3 linked regions of the Ovis aries genome follow. The protein of the gene in region 3 interacts with the protein of the main gene of each other region in a pairwise test. Links are inferred from orthologs where the notes say so. Each region holds a gene or a part of one and is shown on either strand. Other genes may lie near its edges. The genes, in order: BMAL1, BMAL2 and EPAS1.

Evidence for each region.
Region 1: the proteins of EPAS1 (region 3) and BMAL1 interact in binary tests that used the Homo sapiens proteins (3 or more experiments, as listed by UniProt). The link is inferred for Ovis aries from reciprocal best matches to the Homo sapiens genes EPAS1 and BMAL1.
Region 2: the proteins of EPAS1 (region 3) and BMAL2 interact in binary tests that used the Homo sapiens proteins (3 or more experiments, as listed by UniProt). The link is inferred for Ovis aries from reciprocal best matches to the Homo sapiens genes EPAS1 and BMAL2.

Annotation. Positions count from the first base shown.
Region 1 is NC_056068.1:39,064,771-39,070,813, forward strand, and holds part of BMAL1 (basic helix-loop-helix ARNT-like protein 1), read right to left. Parts: intron 5,421-6,043; coding exon 5,271-5,420; intron 2,844-5,270; coding exon 2,597-2,843; intron 1,264-2,596; coding exon 1,157-1,263; intron 1-1,156. UniProt on the Homo sapiens protein: Transcriptional activator which forms a core component of the circadian clock.
Region 2 is NC_056056.1:188,138,201-188,144,828, forward strand, and holds the start of BMAL2 (basic helix-loop-helix ARNT-like protein 2), read right to left. Parts: upstream 3,899-6,628; 5' UTR 3,303-3,898; coding exon 3,164-3,302; intron 1-3,163. UniProt on the Homo sapiens protein: Transcriptional activator which forms a core component of the circadian clock.
Region 3 is NC_056056.1:77,967,200-77,973,242, reverse strand, and holds part of EPAS1 (endothelial PAS domain-containing protein 1), read left to right. Parts: intron 1-419; coding exon 420-567; intron 568-1,218; coding exon 1,219-1,433; intron 1,434-2,497; coding exon 2,498-2,688; intron 2,689-3,206; coding exon 3,207-3,317; intron 3,318-4,607; coding exon 4,608-5,098; intron 5,099-6,043.

The sequences.
Region 1 (6,043 bases), on a different chromosome or scaffold from region 3:
TGAACCTGTCACTATTCAGAGTGTATGAAATAAAGGAAATAACAGTGCATTCTAGACATCTAGCTGGATTCATCTATGAAGTGAATGCCACACAAGGCGGCTCAGTCCACAGGGACCATGTAATCTCCCCATCATAAAGCCTGAGGACATCCGGATTCAGATGGCATCTCACCCATGGAAACCTCATTCTTTCATGTAACAAACATGTAGCAAGTATGCTTCATGTGCCAAGTACTGGAGATAAAAGAGGAGACAGGATATGACTTGCACCCTCAGGAGAGGAATGAGGGACAGCTACGCAGAGGAGATCAGAGCCTTCAGGGGTGAATACAAGTTTGCCAAAAGGAAGGAGGGAAGAACCCAGTGCTACCCGAGGAGTGGCAGGGCCTGGGGTGGGAGTGGGAACAGTGAGATGTCAGTGCGTCTGGAGGACAAGGCCTCTGCAGACAGGGACTGGGTCGGGAGGTGAAGCTGGGGAGGTGGCTCAGGGCCAGGACGTGGAGGGTCTTGAGCATCTGTCAAAGGTGACTGCGCAGGGGGTTTTGAGCACAGATGTGACTGTCAGGCTCAGTCTGTCAGAGCATAAGCGGGACAGCAATAGAAGATGGACTGGCGGGGCAGAGGCAAGTCCATCACAATTATCAGGTGGGTACCAGGGCTGCATCAGGGGCTTGGCAGAAAGGGGCCTCCTTGGAGATGCATGGCTGAGATGAATGAACAGTTCCGACGGAGGAAAGAGTAAAGAAGGGAGTCAATGTTGGCTGCTGTCTCAGGAGGCTATGTACGTGGCCACGTCATTAACCAAGAGGAAAATGCAGGAGGCGGTGCAGGGATTTGTAGGAAATTAGATCCGCTTGGGCCACACTAAATCTTTACATAGTCCAGGGAAACCCTCTGAACCAGAGGTGCCTTCCAGAAATTGCTCCAGCCCATGTAGAGATCTACTAGGCAGTCGGGGTGGGCGGTTATCTGGAAGGGGGTAGATGAGGCCTGGGGGAAGGAGCAGCACCCTCTCCTCCCAGACATTCTGGCCTGCAGGTCCCTGGGCTGGCTGACTCCCACCTCACAGGGGCAGATTTCTCTGCAAGGGTCCATGGACATGTCTAGAAGGAGGACACTTGAAACTTCAGAACTGGTGTACAGCCCAGCAGCTAACCTTGCCTATGACATTCTGCGAGATGTCCTATGTCATCTTGGTGGAAATACTCATAACACGACGTGCCTAGAAGTTCTTGTGGTAGATATGCCAAAATAGCTGTTGCCCTAAAAGGGAGAAAAAAAATTTTTTTTTAAATAAAATAACATTCAGACAATTAACAGATCTCTGCAGTGGATGACTCCTGCTACAGCCAATGAAAACAAGGTCAAAGCTGGGGGGGTTCAGAGGGCTTATTACATGGGTTTTGTTCTTTCTCATGAAGCTGACTTTAATCGGGGTTATAAAAACAGAGAGAGAAAGCAAAGACTTTCAAAGGGGCTGTTAGCACAAGACATCAAATTTTAGGTTTAAAAGTAGTAACTTTTAGATTAAAAAAAAGTGATAGGACTCTAAACTCCAGGTCAAAACTTCTCCAATTTACTGCCTGCTTTTTATCAGAGTGACCAGAAGCCCCAGTCGTGGGGCCCACAGGGACCTTGAGAAGCGGCTGCCTCCTTTTCTAGTATTTAGTGACTGGCTATTTCCAGTGGCCAGAAAAATTGCTAGCCTGTGGATACTTGTAAGGAAGCAGCAGAGAGCAGTGGAAATTTGGGTTCTTAGCCCAGGTCTACGGCCAATGAGTTACGAATCTCGGAGGGGGCTGGTCTTCAGGCTGAGCCTCTGTTCATCAGCCATAAAGAATGAGACCAGACTAGATCAGTGTTGTCCAGCAGAACTTTTTGTGAAGACAGAAATGTTCTGTTCAGGTACCATTAGCCACTGTTGCTGCTGTTTAGTCGCTAAGTTGTATCCAATCCTTTGTGATCCCATGGACTGCAGCCTACCAGGCTCCTCCGTCTATGGGATTTCTCAGGCAAGAATACTGGAGTGGGGTGCCATTCCCCTCTCCAGGGGATCCTCCTGACCCATGGATTGAACCTGCATCTCCTGCCCTGGCAGGCAGATTCTTTATAGCTGAGCCACCAGGGAAGCCACATGTGACTACTGATACTTGAAATGTGGTTAGTGAGCTGGGGGAATTTAAATTCACATTTTAACTTTAATTGATTAAATATATGGGGTTACTATAGCCAATGACTACTGTATTGATAGCTCAAGACCAGATAATCTTTTCAAAGTCCCACATCCCAGAACTCACATTACAGTAATTAATGGAACACTCCATAGATTCAGATAGCATGTTATGCCTATTATTTCTCTCTTAGCCACGGACATCAAGCCACCCCACTTCACTGTCTCTACCTGCCCAAGAATGACATGGAGAAAATTTCTGTATTTATGATGATAACCCACTAGGTCTCATTTTTCAGCAGATCCACCCGTCACTTCCTCCTCTCTATCCTTAAGAAAGGCAGCCAATGGCCCAGTCTGCTCTGCTTTACTCAAGGTTGAAAATCTGCTGCCAAGACAGTCCAAGGGTAACGTGCAGACTCTTACCTCTGGTCTACAAAAACAAACTTCCCATCTATCGCGTGCCGGGAGACATATTCCATTGATTTCACCCTGATTTCCCCATTTGCCGGTTGTGGAACCATGTGAGAGTGCAGCCGTCCGATGGCGACAAGGCAGCTAAGATTACACCCCTCATTGTCTGGTTCGTTGTCTTCATCCAGCCCCATCTTTGTGGGCGGCCAGCTTTTCAAATAGCCTGTGCTGTGGATTGTGCAGAAGCTTTTTCGATCTGCTAGAAAGCAAAGTCCGATGTCAGTGGGGCTTTGGGGCCTGGAAGCACAGGCAGCCTATCGTGCATTGAGATGTAGGGAGGGACTGAAAATATAAAAATCAAAGTCTACTGTCCAGAAGATAGCATCAAGTGAAAGAGAAAGACAGAAAGATCAGGCATGATCCAGTGTCATGTGTGTTTCGTAGCAATGATGACACCAAATGGGCATCACGTACACCAAGGAAGGAGCAGCACAATCCCCCTGGCAGAGGAAGGCTGCCCAGAAGATCTGTGTAGGAGGAGAGCTGGGAGGGATGGGCACCGGCTAAAGGACCAGAATGTGTAAAGGCTGAGAAGGTACAAAGACCCAGAGGGGCATCCTGTACAGCAAACAGCACAGTGCTCCATGCAGGTGAAGTGAAAAGGGAGGTGCTGGGGGTAAGTGCTGGGAAGGTAGGTTGGCAGCATACTGTTGGGGCCTTGGATCATTTGCTCACAAAGGTGTTAACCTTTTCCAGACTGGAAATGGAGAGTTTCCAAGGGCACTTACAGTGGGGAAACAGCAAAATCACATCGTGATTTGGATGCTTTAATGACGGGGGGCGGTGGGGGACTGGAAGACAGTAAAAGCCAGGAGGAGGATAGTAATCAGCGAGAGATGCCAGGGACTCACAATGGCAGTGCTGTGGAGATAAGGGGGAGGCAGAAAGGACGCAGGGGAATTTCTGGGCTGAACTTTTGGGATCTGGTCTGAGTATCAAATATTTGGGATGAAAAAAGAAAACACAGATGAGTCCAACTTTTTCGGATTGAGTGGTTACAGGTACAATTTGTTGACTCAGGGGAGAGAATACAGAGTGTGTTTTAGAGGAGAGGGAGAAAGATTTCAGTGTGGGACACGTTAAGCGTGAAGCATCCGTGAATTTCAACAGTACACATATTTTTTTTTGTTGTTGGCGGGGGCGGGCTGCCTTGTGTCGCAGCTCGCAGGACCTTAGTTCCCCAACCAGGGCTCAAACCTGTGCCCCCCTTGCCGTGGAGGACTGCCAGGAAAGTCCCAGTAGACACATTCTTATGGAATGTTTACCAAGCATCGGGTCTGTGCTAGTTACTGGGAAAGAGTGGACAACAAGTCAGGCACGCCTCTGTGGAATTTAGTCTAATGGGGGGGAGGTACTTCAAACAAATAACCCACAAATGACTCCATAACTGCAATGGGAGCAAGTGTCACAAGGAAAACCTGCAGGGTGTGCCATGCAGACAGAAGGCAGTCTGAGGGACTGAGCGACAGACATCGGGGTCCACTCTGAAGGGGGGTTTGCAGAGAGCCAGGGAGGGGAGCTGGTGGCGAGGGAGGCACTTCCTTCAGAGGTGACACCACGTGTGCAGATACTGAGTGGAAAGGGGTTGGAGGCATCAAACGGAGGTCTGCACGGCTCAAACCTATGGAGGAGTGTCAAGGGAGAGCGCTACAGGGTCACATTAAAGATTTTAAACTTTTCTTCAAGAGCAATGGGAACCAATGAAGGGTTTGAAACAGGGGACAGATACAAAGATTTGCTTTTAGAAAGGTCACTCTGGCCATGGGAAAGGCTGGAAAGCGTGAGGAAAGTACTTCAACAGACTTATGAGACCCAGGACAGCCTCGATCGAGTAATGGCAGTAACAAATACACTTCTTCAGGAGTGACTCATAGCAGCAAGAACCCTAGGCCAGGGCGGAGGGAAACGGGGAGACGGTGTCTCCCAGGCTCTCAGCACACACAGCTCGATGCGAGGAGCTGCCGTAACATTCCAGAGGAAGCCTGGGTGGTTACTTCTATGCCTATCACCTATGAGATGCTCTAGAGATGTCCAAGCAGGTAGATTAAATAAGCAGTTAGTTTACAAATCTGGAGTTCAAAAGAGCAGTGTGGGCTAGAAATATGAACCTGGAGATTACTGGCATATAAATGTCATTGAAAGCCACATGGGTGGGTGACATTACCTATGGACTGTTGTATGTATCTACTCCTCTTAAGAGGGCTGGAAAGGAACCAACAGAAAGAACTCAGAGGAGAGTTCAGAGCGGGAGGGGGCAGCAAGGTGAGAAGAAACACTTCACCGTGGAAGAGAAATGGCATGTCCGCTGCTCCTAGCCGCCTGTAGGCACTGGTGAACCTAGGGTAACTCTGGCGGGCGCTGGGGACACAGGGAACTGTGACTGAGAATACTCTTCCCGAGCCACACGAAAATGAACAGAATTGAAACAGAGGAAGACTTTCCACGAATCTGTCAGGGCTTCCCGCCTCCCTGTGGCTCCCCAGCTGCCCTCACCGAAGCAGGGCCACAGAGGTCCTGGCTGCAAACCTGTGACCCACCTGCTCTGAGCCCACACCCTACTGAGAGCCCCTCTGTGGAAAGGCCAGCCTCACCCGTGAAAGGATTTAATGAACTCTTAAGTGGTTACCTTTTTTCTTGGAGCAGGTGGAGGGGAAATCCTTGTCTTCCACTTTTACTGAAGGCCTGTTACACTTCATCCTACAGAAGAAAGAACGCCGTGCTCCAGAACATAATCGAGATGGCCCAGGGGTTATATCTGTTTTAACTGGAAGTCCAGCTGCAAATCAATACACAAAACGTGATAAACTGAGGGTCGTGTTGTCTGTCAGGCAGGGGAGCATGCCCTTGAAGAAAGCCTTTTCTTTCCTGCCTCTCTGTTCTGTAACAGGGGCCTGACAGCAACACTCCTCCTCACAGGCTTGCACAGATGCTCTGCACATGGGGTGCTGTCGGCCTGCCGGTCTTCTAGAACATGCAGAATGCAGCTACTGATGGATGGACTACGCGCTCCGGGGAACAAAGAAATACACACGGGACCCTCTTCTCAGCGGGAGCTGAGGGGGGGGAAATGGAAGCTGACCGGACGGACTGTGCTCATGCCACACATGGTGTATGACTGAAAAGTGCCAAATAAAGGGCAGAAACCACCGGTGTTTCCCTGAGGAGGCAGAAAGTGGGCCGGGACCTGGAGAGTGGGCAAGGTCTGGACACTGGAACGGAACAGAGGCAACAGGGTTGGCTCGAGTTCTCAAGCCTGGCTGGACACCAGAACCCCCAGATGCTGTATTGACCTGAAGATGCTTGAGCCCCACTCTAGACCTATGCCGCCCAGTACGGGAGCCACTAGCTACATGCAGCTGCTGGGATCTTCAAACTGGAAGCGTGCTGAACATGTGAATA
Region 2 (6,628 bases), about 110 Mb from region 3:
ACGTACATAACCATGCATAAAATAGATGGCCGGTGGGAATTTGCTGTATGACTCAGGGAGATCAATTACGGCGCTCGGTGACAACCTAGAGGGGTGGGATGAGGTGGGAGGTGGGAGGAAGGTTTAAGAGGGAGGAAGTGTATGTATACCTATAGCTGATGCATGTTGACGTACGGAAGAAACAACACAATATTGTAAAGCAATTATCCTCCGATTAAAAATAATTTTTAAAAAGGAAACATGAAACAATAATAGTACTACTTTATAGATTTGCTGAAGATTTGTGAATTATACCATGTAAAGCATTTAGACAACTAGCACATAGTAAATATTAAGAATTATTAACTATTTAGAAGAACCAAAAGGTGAGAATCATCCATGCTAAGCTTTTGAAATGGGGCAAAGAGGGAACAGAAACACCCATGATGACTATAAGTAAATCGGAGTCGTGGGAAACCATTCAGTTGCGATGCAGAATGTAATCAGAGTGATATAAGCACCTAACAATGCTACCCTGGTGATGACTATTCCAGAAAAGGCCAACCTTTCATAGGCATTATAACCTAATCCAGGGATGGGCAAGAGCAAGAAAAAGCAGCTCATCAGAATTTGTTCTACACTGAAACAGAAAATTCCCCTAACTTGGTCCAGGACTTATCCTCAAGAATAAGAAGAATACAGAGTTCAGCGTTTTCAACATCAGCAAGTTTCTCCAAAAGGCACAGAAACAATTTTGATGAGCTATACCCGCATCACTGTTACACAGGCAAATACAATTCTTGCAGGTCATGAGTACACAGAAAACATGCTGTAGACTATCATCATGATCTGTACTAACCAGGCATGACTTGATATGTCAGATTCGATACAGAACCTACAAAAGATATCATGGTTCCTCACCTCTAACGTATCAACAAAATAAGACACCCTCAGTTAACTCTGAGAAAGAGAATTCATCAGTGTTCACAGAAGTATTTATGTATCTTTTCACCCAGTGGTGATTATTCTAGAAAGAAGAAAGACCCTTTAAAGGGGATGAGAGGAGAAGCACTGACTTTGCAATAAGAAAATGCTAAGGCCCTACAAACTGAAACACAGTATGAGTTTAAAAAGTAATAAAACCCAACACACCATTAATGACTTTAATATTATTTATGTATTAACATACCATAGTTACAATGATGATCAGAATCCAAAGCTGCCTAACAAAAAATTACTTAAAACCTCTTGATAAAGAATTTGTCCTAGATGTCTTCTGAAAGTTGAGGTGTGAATCCGAATGTTCTTCTAAGATCAGGCTGCATGGTTTGTGACCCACATGTCCCAGAAGTAGCAATGGTTACTGCTGAAAGGAACTGATAGGCCAAAAGTGCTAGTTGAACTCAAGTTGAAAGGTAAAGAAAAGAGAATTGTCTTAAGCCACTAGCCTCAGGATGCATGGGAAATTGGGTTTGGTCTCTCTTTTCTAGGTCAGTGTTGTTGCCTGGATGGCTCATTAGAGAAGAGATGGCCTCCCTAGAAGTCCATATTGTTGTCTCCACAGTAGTGTGAGCATGGCCTACCTTTGGGTACCATGTAAGTCAGAGAGGAAATCCAATTCTCTACCCAGGAGGTTGAGGAGAGAAATAAACATAAAGCTGGCAACTGTGTTCAATTTTTCAATCAAAACTGTTTTCTAGATTTTGACAAAACAATTACTAATCGTCACAATCTTCTATTCATTTTAAACATATATTGATCTCTGTTCTGTAAAGTGTTCAAGTCTGCCCATCGTATACTGATCTCTTTTTTACAATCTGTCTATAAAATACCTATACTTTTGTTACCATCCAGGCTCAACGACAATCTCTTCTCCCTCTCTTCTCCTCTCCTAAGAAGAAAAGATGAAGAGGTATTTTGATGTACCTAAGTGTTTCTGCCTTTGAGTAACTTCTATGCCAGAGATCCTCTGCACTGAGTCTGAATCAACAAACATCTTCTGATGTTATCACACACAGGCGTTTGCAGGAGTGCTCTTTTAGGAATGTGTTCAGACGTGCATGGCAATGGAGTCCTTTGGGTTTATAAACCTTCCCTGCTTGTCTTGGAAGGCAAGGCTGATAGTTCTGTTCAGTCCTGCACCCTGGGGCTGCATAGGAAGGGTCTGCAAGGAGGCCTGGAGCACATGTCCATAAGAGGAGGACATCAGTGGCCATTACACTGGACAGTGGATGGAAGTCCAGAAACCTGCTTCCCAGCAGGCTGCAGCAGGAATAAATGAGACAGCACCAGTGACGGTTTTAAGAAGAAGCAGTGTGAAATGGATTTAAAGATAGAAGCAGCTACTTTTTTTCAGAGAAGAGAGGATGGGCGAAAGTAGTGGCCCAGATGCACCTGGAGGGAAAGCTAAGACCATATAACTAATCCTCTGGCAGGAACCAGGATCCCTGATGTTCTTTCTGGTCAGAAATATGCTGCAAGTAACATTTCAGGGTGATACAACTGGTCTCTTGCTGGCCAGGGACCAAAAAGAAGGTGCTCGGATCTTTCCTTCTGGAGCCTGTAACTCAGGTTTTCCTCATTTGCTGTCCTGCCGCATCACAGGTGGGAGGGCAGCGCTGGGTGACATTAACAAGGCAAGGACAGGTCAGTTCTTCCGTTCCCACTTTTCCCAGCCAGACCAGCACCAGTTCTTCCAAGCACATCACTGATGATTTTCCATATACACGTCTAATCTCTGTTGTCGATGACCCTCTTTGCTGCCTCCACAAGTTATCTATCCTTCAATACTAAACTTGACCCCTTCTCTGAAAGCCAACTCCCCCACAAACTAGATATAATTCTTCCCAAATGTAGGTGGAGAGGCTCACTCCTAGCAGTTAAACCATAGATTGTGCTAGGTTCTGTCTTTACAACACATATTTTGGCCGTTTTTCATCTCTCCTTTTATAAGCTCTTTAATCCTGCTTGTTTCATCCGTTTCTTTCTCTCTGTTTGCCTAGAACAGCAATATGCTTTATGAACAAACCAGCCCTGTCAGCACCTCAAACCAACAGTCACTTACAATCAAAAAGCTTGGTTAGGTATTTAATAAGTGCAAGGAGGTGAAGACTGTAAAGATGAGCCAGGTCCTACCCTGCTCTCTTAGGCATGTGCAACCCAAGGATGGAGCTAAGATACGTACCTAAACAAGGCATGGCAAGTGGGCACAGGGTTCTCGTAGGCACGCCAAAAACCACAGTGAGGAAATAGAAGGGAAGAATCATTTCCATCAGCGGGTAGGAGAAGTTCTGGGAAGGGTTCATGAGGCGAAGGAAACTCATCTGTTGAAGGTCAGATTTCACTAGCTTGGAATCATCTCATTTAATTGTCACATGACTCTTCAAGTTAGGTCATTTTTTACCGCCATGTTATAGACGAGGAAATTGGGGCTCAGAGAAGTTAAATAATTTGGTCAAGGTCACAGAGCTAGTATATTAACTGACACCCACACTCCCACTCCTGGAGTAGGCAATGGAAACCCACTCCAGTGTTCTTGCCTGGAAAATTCTACGGACAGAAGAGTCTGGTGGACTACAGTCCATGGGGTTGCAGAGTTGGACACGTCTGAGCACGCACACACACGTACTCCCACTGGGTCCAAAGTTCATGCATTTTCCTGCACCAGCTCTTCTGTTCCAGGGGTAGAAGAAACACAGTGACATCTGAGCTCGGCCTTCAAAACTACAGGAGAGCCCCTACAGGCCCATCTGGAGGGAGGACAGGGCAGTCTAGGAGCAGCCAACGGCCTGAGGAGAGGCCTGGACCATACATGGGAAGGCAGACTCCCTCACATAACTATGTAGGACATGTAAAGGAGAAGTACTGGAGAGGTGCCGAGAAAGCAAGCCAGTGGATGGTTCTCCACTTCGCCTGCGCTATCCTTGGAACAGAGGGCAAAGTGTATTTCTTATCTATGTAAAAAAATAAATGGGACTTCCCTTGCAGTCCAGCGGTTAAGACTCTGGGCTTCCACTGTAGGGGGCCTGAATTCAGTCCCTCATCCAGGAACAAAGATCCCACATGCTGTGCAGTAGGGCCAATAAATAAATAAATAAAATTAATTTTAAAATAACATTTAAGAAATTCAATTAAATATTGTAAGTAAAACATTTTGAATGTATTGGGAATTGCTGTTTTACGGCAATCATCTTGACCCTCAACTGTAAATCTCCTGTAATGCAAACCTGGGCTTCCCTTGTGGCTCAGCTGGTAAAGAATCTGCCTACAATGTAGGAGACCTGGGTTGGGAAGATCCCGTGGTCTAGGAAAGGCTAGGAATGGCTCCCCACTCCAGTACTCTGGCCTGGAGAATTCCATGGACTGTATAGTCCACGGGGTCGCAAAGAGTCGGACAGGACCGAGCAACCTTCACTTCCATGTCACCATAATGCAAACCAGGTTGAGCGGAAGAAGGATTCTCTCTGTGCTTCCTTTTCCTTCAGTCTTCTTTGTTTCGCTCTTTCGGTAAAGATACTATCTAGAGATTTAAATCATAAGATTAAAGAGAAACGAAATCCCAGAAATTTACTGAGATAAATGACAAATTTCCAATCATCCCCACCAACAACTAAGTATTTTCAAATGAGAATTTTAATATTATACATCTAGACTGATTTAAATATGTTAATTAGTTTCAAAGTATTTTAAGTTTAAAAACTGGGGGCTGAGTAGATGAGACACTTGCCTCTTGCTGGCTCACTGAGACCCTGGTGGTGCTGATGCTGACTAACCACCTGGATGCCAGGCACCGAGGTTTTCAGCCCAAGGCAACTGAAATTGGGGCTACTGAATGACATCTTATTATCTTGTTTATGATATCCTGAACATTATGCAAAGGAAGAGATTTCAAAAGGATGCTCTAATTAATGTTCACCACACAGAAAGAGATCATGCTTTTTCTTTTTCTTTTTTTTTGTCTGTGCTGGTGGTTCTTTGTTGTTTTGTCTGGGCCTTTTCTAGTTGTGGAGCACGGGAGCTACTCTTCATTGTGATGTGCGAGCTTCTCACTGTGGAAACTTCCCCTGTTGCAGAGCGCAGGCTCTAGGGTGCACAGGCTTCAGCAGTTGTGGCTTGTGAGCCCGAGAGCTCAGGCTCAGTAGCTGTGGCTCACAGGCTTTAACTGCTCTGCGGCAAGTGGAATCTTCTCAGACCAGGGATTGAACCCATGTCTCCTGCATTGGCAGGCGGTTTCTTATCCACTGTACCATGAGGGAAGTCCAGATCATGCTTTTCAGAATCAAGAAGTCTTTCCACAAGGAAAAAAGTATACTGAAATCACTGTTTACTAATATTTTGGCTTTCCCATGTATTTTAAACATTAGATTTCTTTTTTCCCTGGAGTCAAATTCTAATGCGTGGCAGTCCCTACCCTTCCTCCTCCCCTGCGTCTCTCCTCACCTCCATCCCTCCTCAGCCCTCCTCCAACCCGCCACCGCCACTGCCACCGCCACCGGGGATCAGCTCCTCTCCACTCCCCTTCTCCACCCTCTCCATCCTCTGTCTTCAACGTCTCTCTGCAGCTCTTTCCCTCTCTCCTCCTCTCTCTTTACTCCAACCCTTCTCTCACTCCTCCACCTTTCTCTCTTTTCCTCTCGCTTTCCTCCCCCTAAAACATGTCAAAAGTCATTTTTAGCCCATCTTGGTTTATCTTGAGTGACGCACATCAGACTGAAGGACTCGGACAAGAAGAGTAGTTTATGCACAGTGGACCAGGACGTGACTTTCAATATCTGAGTCACAAAAATGAATTTAAGCCACTACATAATTGCAGAACTACCCCTCATAAGAGCTGGGTATGATAACATCCCAGGTGAAAACAGGGGATGGTAAAAAGTGGGGGAAGGGAAGGTGAGACAGTTGCCCCTTGGATGCCTAAACCCAAGACGAAATCTGGCAATCAGCCCTGGTACATGTGCTGCTCTCCTGAGAATGCCTGCTCCCTAACTCCAAAGATTCTGGAATCATTTACCAGAAGGTGCCAGCCAGTCACTTGGCATGGCAGCTTGCTTAATCTTGTTGTTTACCATCAACCCATCAAAAACAAGTGAGCAGGCAATCATGTTAGGTACCAGCTGATTTTTGGTGGCCATCTTCAAAACCAGCTCCCTCAATGTTTTCAGCAGTATAATCAAACCATGGGGATTTTTTTCCATATCACCATTATTAGATTTTTTTTTTCCTTTGGGTTGCACTGCATGGCATGTGGGATCTTAGTTCCCAGACCAGGGATTGAACCCAAGCCCCCTGCAGTGGAAGCAGAGCCCTAACCACTAACCACTGGCCCACCAGAGAATTCCCTGATTTTCATTTTATTGTGAAGGCCTGAATGTCAATCTGCCTAGGAAAAAGGAATATGGAGGGATTTTGCGCCAGGGGGAAAAAACCCATGGCCCTGGATTCTGACATAGAGACCTGTTTTGTTTTTTCCCTCCAGGAATGGGAGAAGTTGCAACCATAATTCTCCCTCTTTAGACAAAGAGAGTGTCTGGCAGTGAGCACACTGCCCATTAACCATCCAAGCAGACAGGAAAGAAAGAAGAGCAGCCCAGCCAGGAGCCACAGAGTTTAACTTCAGGTGTGTTTGTCAATTTCTGGCTACAGCTTCAGT
Region 3 (6,043 bases):
GCGTTGATGGTGGGTCTGCTACCAGCAGCTGCCGAGAACAGGCATTCTCCACGCTGCCTGCAGGTTCCCCCCACCTGCAGTGCGGGGCAGAGGAGGTGCTCTTGCACCCCAGGTGCACGCATGGATCTGCTGGTGCCCCGTGGAGCAGCTTCCTCTCGTTGACCTTGAGGGGAAAGAAGAGCAGGTGCTGTTCTTGGTTTCCACTCACAGCTGAGCCGGTGTGAGCTGACCTGTCAAGGGTTGGCCATGGCCGCTCCCTTACAGCCAGCCTAGGGACGTCAGCTAACCTCTCTGGACCGCCTTCCCCACGTTTAACATGAAGTGTTGGGCAAGACGCTCTCAGCGCCCTTTCCCCCCGCATCTTTTCCCATACACTGCCCTTGCCTCCCTGACCTCAGGCCCCGTTTCTCCTCCCCTAGTGTGCACCAAGGGTCAGGTGGTGAGCGGCCAGTACCGGATGCTTGCCAAGCATGGGGGCTACGTGTGGCTGGAGACACAGGGGACGGTGATCTACAACCCTCGCAACCTGCAGCCCCAGTGCATCATGTGTGTGAACTATGTCCTGAGGTGAGTGTGTGAGGGCTGGGGGCCACAAGGCTGGGGCTGGGGTGTTCCTGAGACTGACAGTGCGACCCAGGGACACCAGGCTCCTCAGAACCCGGGCACCACACCTTAGAGTCCTTGGCGGTGGGCATCCTGGGAACAATGGGACATTGGGATTTCCCTTTGATGGCACTTTTTCTGCCCCTTGCCTCTCGTCTGTCATCTGTCACGCCTCCACCCTATGTGAGGGAGGCAACTAGAACACAGATGAAGCCTAACCTGTTTTCTGAATGAGGATCAAGGGAAGAGAACTGCTCATACTTTTGGGGAGCAGACGTAACACCCTAGCTATGTAGAACTTGGGAAGACAGCTGGAGAAAGGCAGTGCTGGGGTGAAACAAAAGCAGAAGCCTTCATGTCTGTGCACACCACTCAGTCCATGTACAATATAAAAACAGCATCCAAGACACATACATATTGTGAGGCTCTCTTGGCATCGCTAGGCTCCAGGACTCCAAACTACCATCGTGCAGTTCTTTACAAAATGCTAACACACTGTCCATATCCATGGTTTTATCTGAGAGGCTTAGCTGTCAGGGCTTCAGTGTGTCTGGGAGAGCAAAAGGGTTTTGATGGAAAATGTGGAGGGTCTGAAGCTCCCTCTCATCTCAACAGTGAAATTGAGAAGAACGACGTGGTGTTCTCCATGGACCAGACAGAGTCACCGTTTAAGCCACACCTGCTGACCATGAACAGCATCTTTGATAACAGTGGCAAGGTGGCTGTGTCTGAGAAGAGCAACTTCCTGTTCACCAAGCTGAAGGAGGAGCCCGAGGAGCTGGCCCAGCTGGCACCTACCGCGGGAGACACCATCATTTCTCTGGATTTCGGTGGGTGCATCTTAGCTAGGCCAGGGCAATCAAACCCTCTTGGGGTGGGGGAGGCCTCCCTGGCACAGGTTTCCCTTAAGCAGAGCTGCCGTGTACCTTCTCCGAGTCTTGCTAATCCTCCATTAGTGTGGCCAAACCATGTGCTGTGCACACGCACTCACCGTGCTCGGGACTGCCCCATGTCTCACCTCTCAAGGCACCGATCCAGGTGGGATCCGGTTGATTCTGCATCATGGGCAGTGGGAGTCTGAGAGGAGAGGTCTCGGGGATCTGCTCTGAGGCCGTGGGCATATTTTCACAGAGTGGGCAGATCTCCACCTTGAAAGACAGATTGTGTGTTTAGGCAGAAGGCTTCTAGGTTGAAATAATGTTGGGAGAAATCATCCCAGAAACATGGATGGAGAAACAGATTCGGGCCCAGCAGTAAGTCCTTACATGCACGTCTTTAAACGTCTACCTGTCCCCTGGGGATGCGAGTCCTGGTGGCCCCAGCAGGGTTTCCAGCTCTTAACCCTTGCTCTGTACCTGCAAGGCCCCTTCCTCTCCATGTGGCAACTGACCACCATCACCCCCAGCCTTACTGTGGCCCCTCAAGGAGTAGCTGTACCTCCCTGTACTTGCTCTGAAGTGGCTTGGCCTTGCTAGACGTGTTCTTGAGAAGCCACAGGGGAGTCGTGACTGCAGAGGGTCACAGAGGGCAAACCTGGGCCAAGGAGTCATGCAGCGTCCCAATTTTGTGGCAATAACGAGGTGACTTGCCCAGCTCTCATAACCTTCTCCTCTGCATTCTAGATTGTCCTTCAGGGAAGAGAGGCAACTGATACATTTAATCTCTGAAAGTTAGCGGCTCCAAGAGGATGTTCCCATTAAACAGAGTCTGTACATTGAAGCAAAGCCCTGGTTGAAGGCCTCTTTAACCCAACCAAGCCTCAGTGCACCAGGGCCTAGCCCCAGGCACGCTGCAGACCCTTTTCGGAACTCTTGTGCATCCTTCGGGCTTCCTCTGTCCTGGGGGTGAGCCCAGTGGTTGTGGGTGCTAACCAAGCCAGGCCCTGTCTCCACAGGGACCCCGAACTTTGAGGAGTCCTCAGCCTATGGCAAGGGCATCCTGCCCCCAAGCCAGCAGTGGACTGGAGAGGTGAAAAGCCACGGCACCCACAGCGAGGCCGGGAGCCTACCCGCCTTCACCGTGCCCCAGGCGGCCGCCCTGGGGAACAGCACCCCGAGTGCCAGCAGCAGCAGCAGCTGCTCCACGGTGAGCCCCCTGCCTTGGGTTGAGGTCATGGAGAGGGTGCGCTCCTCTGGCCGCGGCCGGATGGCTGAGTGGACAGGCCAGGCCCCAGTGCTGCGCTCCTCTTCCTCAGGTTTCCTGCAGACCCCAAAGGTGGCCGTGAGACTTGCCTGCCACATATTAGATGCTTGCTGTTGGCTCTCCACCCCCATCCACAGAATAAGCTCCTTGAAGACAGGGGCTAAGTCACTCATGGCTGTGAGCCCTGCACTCAGTCTCCATGCAGGACAGTAACCATCCTGCAGGGCGCAAAGGGCCTGGCCAGCCATGCTTCTGTCTGGCTTGTTCTTCAAGACGGCCTCATTTTATGGTGAGGAGACTGAGCTCAGAGAGGTTCACACAGCTCATATGGAGTGGCCTCTCTACAAATCCTGTTCCATGGAATGGAGTTGACTCTGAGATGTATTTCTCCTTCCACCTTGGACTTCTGGGGAAAGCAGTGCCATAGCCTTGACTTGGTCACCTTCCTTCCTGGCCCCTAGCCCAGTAGCCCTGGAGACTATTACACATCTCTAGATGACAATCTGAAGATTGAAGCAATCGAGAAGCTCTTTGCCATGGACACGGAGGCAAAGGACCAGTGTGGCACCCAGGTATGTAGCCCTGGAGAAGATCGGGATGGTGCACCAGGCCTGCCTGCCGATGCTGTGAAGGCTTATGCCCATTCTTGCAGCCTCGGCCCTTTGTTGCAAAGACTAGTGGGAAAGCTTGGCCAACGCCATAGTCCCTTAACTGGGTGAGAGTGCAAGGAAATGGAGCCTGTGGTCGCCTGCTTCTCCCACGTCTGCCTTCTGCTTTACCCGTGTCAAATGCAGCTCTTTTTAACTCTCCATATATTTATGTCCACTAACTTGGCTATTTATTAGTGCTCAGAAAGCCAAAACTACAACTGAACCTTTCTTTAAGGAGCCCTGCATTTAAAAAGCATCCCCAGATGTCCAGATGTGTAAGACTTTTCTAAGCACAGGGAACAATTCCCTTTATATACATTTTCATTTTAGGATTCTTTGAAATAACTTATGTTAAATGCATTTTAAAATGACATCTGACAAATTTTTATTTACACATAACTTTTCAGAAACATATTACATAAGGCCAAACAGTCTTGTAAAACCTGTGTAAACAGGCTAGGGTGTGGGTGGATGGTATGTGTGTCACAAAACCCAAAGGAAATGTATTAATCCCTATTTGTCTTACTCTGGGTTATTCATCCAAATTTCTACCTTGCCTCCTCAGTTTGTGTCTTTATTCTGCGATCTTTCCCTACTTCAACCCTGCACTTTCTTCTCTGAAGTCTAAGATTTATTCCTTGAAAAGAGAAAGTGTGTGACTGGCTGCTGCTTCTCTTTAACCATCTCATGCAGTTGTAACCATTAATAAGCTACCTTCCCCCAGGGAGGGTTGAAATGTTTGTTTTGCTGCATCTGCTTGTGAGGATTCGCTATGGTGCCCATACTGGGATCATGGGGGCCACCTCTGCTTCCTTGTTGATCTGAATGAAGGTCCCACAGAGAGCACTGGGCCACGGTTACCCTACGAGCCGTCTACAGATACACCCTGGGCACGGGCGGGAGATGAGGACAAAGCTGCCCTTGGCCCCCAGGAGCCATCGTGCTCATCAGAGTAGGCAGGAATGAAGAGGTGGGGCCGACACCAGTGGGGTGTGTGGAAGAATGACTGAGTGGAAGGCTGGTAACGTGTGTCAGAAAACCTTCCACACTTTGAGGACACACGTGTGCTTTCCTCTCTTGGGCCCCCAGCTTCCAGGCTGTGCAGGAGGAATGCCTCGGGTGGGGGTGGGGGAACGAGGGACTAAGATGAGGCAGCGTCCTTGAGGCAGCACCCACTGCTGAGCTGCTTTGCCCCTGCTCTGTGTCTTCTAGACTGACTTTAATGAGCTGGACTTGGAGACCCTGGCGCCTTACATCCCCATGGACGGAGAGGACTTCCAGCTTAGCCCCATCTGCCCCGAGGAGAGCCTCCTGCCGGAGACCCCCCAGTCGACCCCGCAGCACTGCTTCAGCACCATGTCAAACATCTTCCAGCCACTGGCTCCGATGGCCTCTCACAGCACCTTCCTCCTGGACAAGTATCAGCAGCAGCTGGAAAGCAAGAAGACGGAGCCTGAGCAGCGGCGCGTGTCCTTCACCTTCTTTGATGGTGGCAGCAAGGTGTCCCTGCTGCAGCGCTGCGGCCAGACCTACACCCCTCTCTCCTCCATGGGAGGCATATCCAGCACACAGTGGCCCCCTGACCCGCCATTACAGCTGGGGCCCATGAAGTGGCCTGGCGAAGATCAGCACGCAGAGGCCTTGGGGACAGTGCCCCTGGGGGCCCCCATTGCCACACCCCATCTCGCCACGTTCAAGAAGAGGTCAGTGACAGAGGCGCTGGGCTGCATAGGGGAGGGGGTACAGACAGGTGCCCACTAGGGGCAGGTATGGGGCTCCAAAAGGCCCCTTGCCCCATCACCAGTTTCCATTCGACAGCGGTCCAATATGCCACGTGGCCCTTCTCTAAACTTTAGGGGATTCGCCCTAAGATACGTGAGGCCTTGAGTGGGACACGTTTTATCAGAGCTGGAGGAGACCAAGAGGGAACTGCAGACAGGGAAAGGGAAGGAAGTGGCTTGTCCTGGGCCCTGCATACCAGTGGCTTCCTGAACTACCCCTTCCTTTTTTTATTCAGAGTTCATGATCTGAGCCACAGACCACCCACACACACAACATGGAGGGACATTTCCTCAGTTCAAGTGTGGAAGCCTAGTTGAGAAAAGTGAAAAGATGCCCCTGCCTTCCCCCTGACTTTGGTTGCCAGAGTCCAGCAGCGCCCTCCCTGGCCTGCCTCCTCCCAGCACCTGCCAGCATCCACCACCCCCACAAGGCCCTTCCAACCCCTGGGAGCTTCCCTGGCTGTCCCATGGTTGGAATAGGCTTCAAGTTCCCAGGGCCCATTGGATAGGCTTCCCTGAGGCCCTTGCCTTTTCCAGGGCATCCTCCCTTGTCCCTGGTGGGGAGCAGTCCAAGCAGAGCAGGGGAGATGGGGCAGAAGCGGCCCTTGCAAAGACAGCTGTCACAGCTGGGCGGCCACAAACCAGGCCAGGACCAAAGGCCGCCGGGGGCCAGCCAGGCAGATAGACACGTGTGGAGGGAGGTGCAGACAGCTGAGCCATCAGTGTCTACCAGGCAGGGCACACTGAGGACAGGGAGAGCTCCAGCCCAGGCCCTCGCCCCCTCCTCCAGGACTCTTCCCTGGGGCTCCAGAGCCACCATTGTCAGGGTCCTCCTCCTGGGAGGACCCTGGGCACATGGCGCCCCAG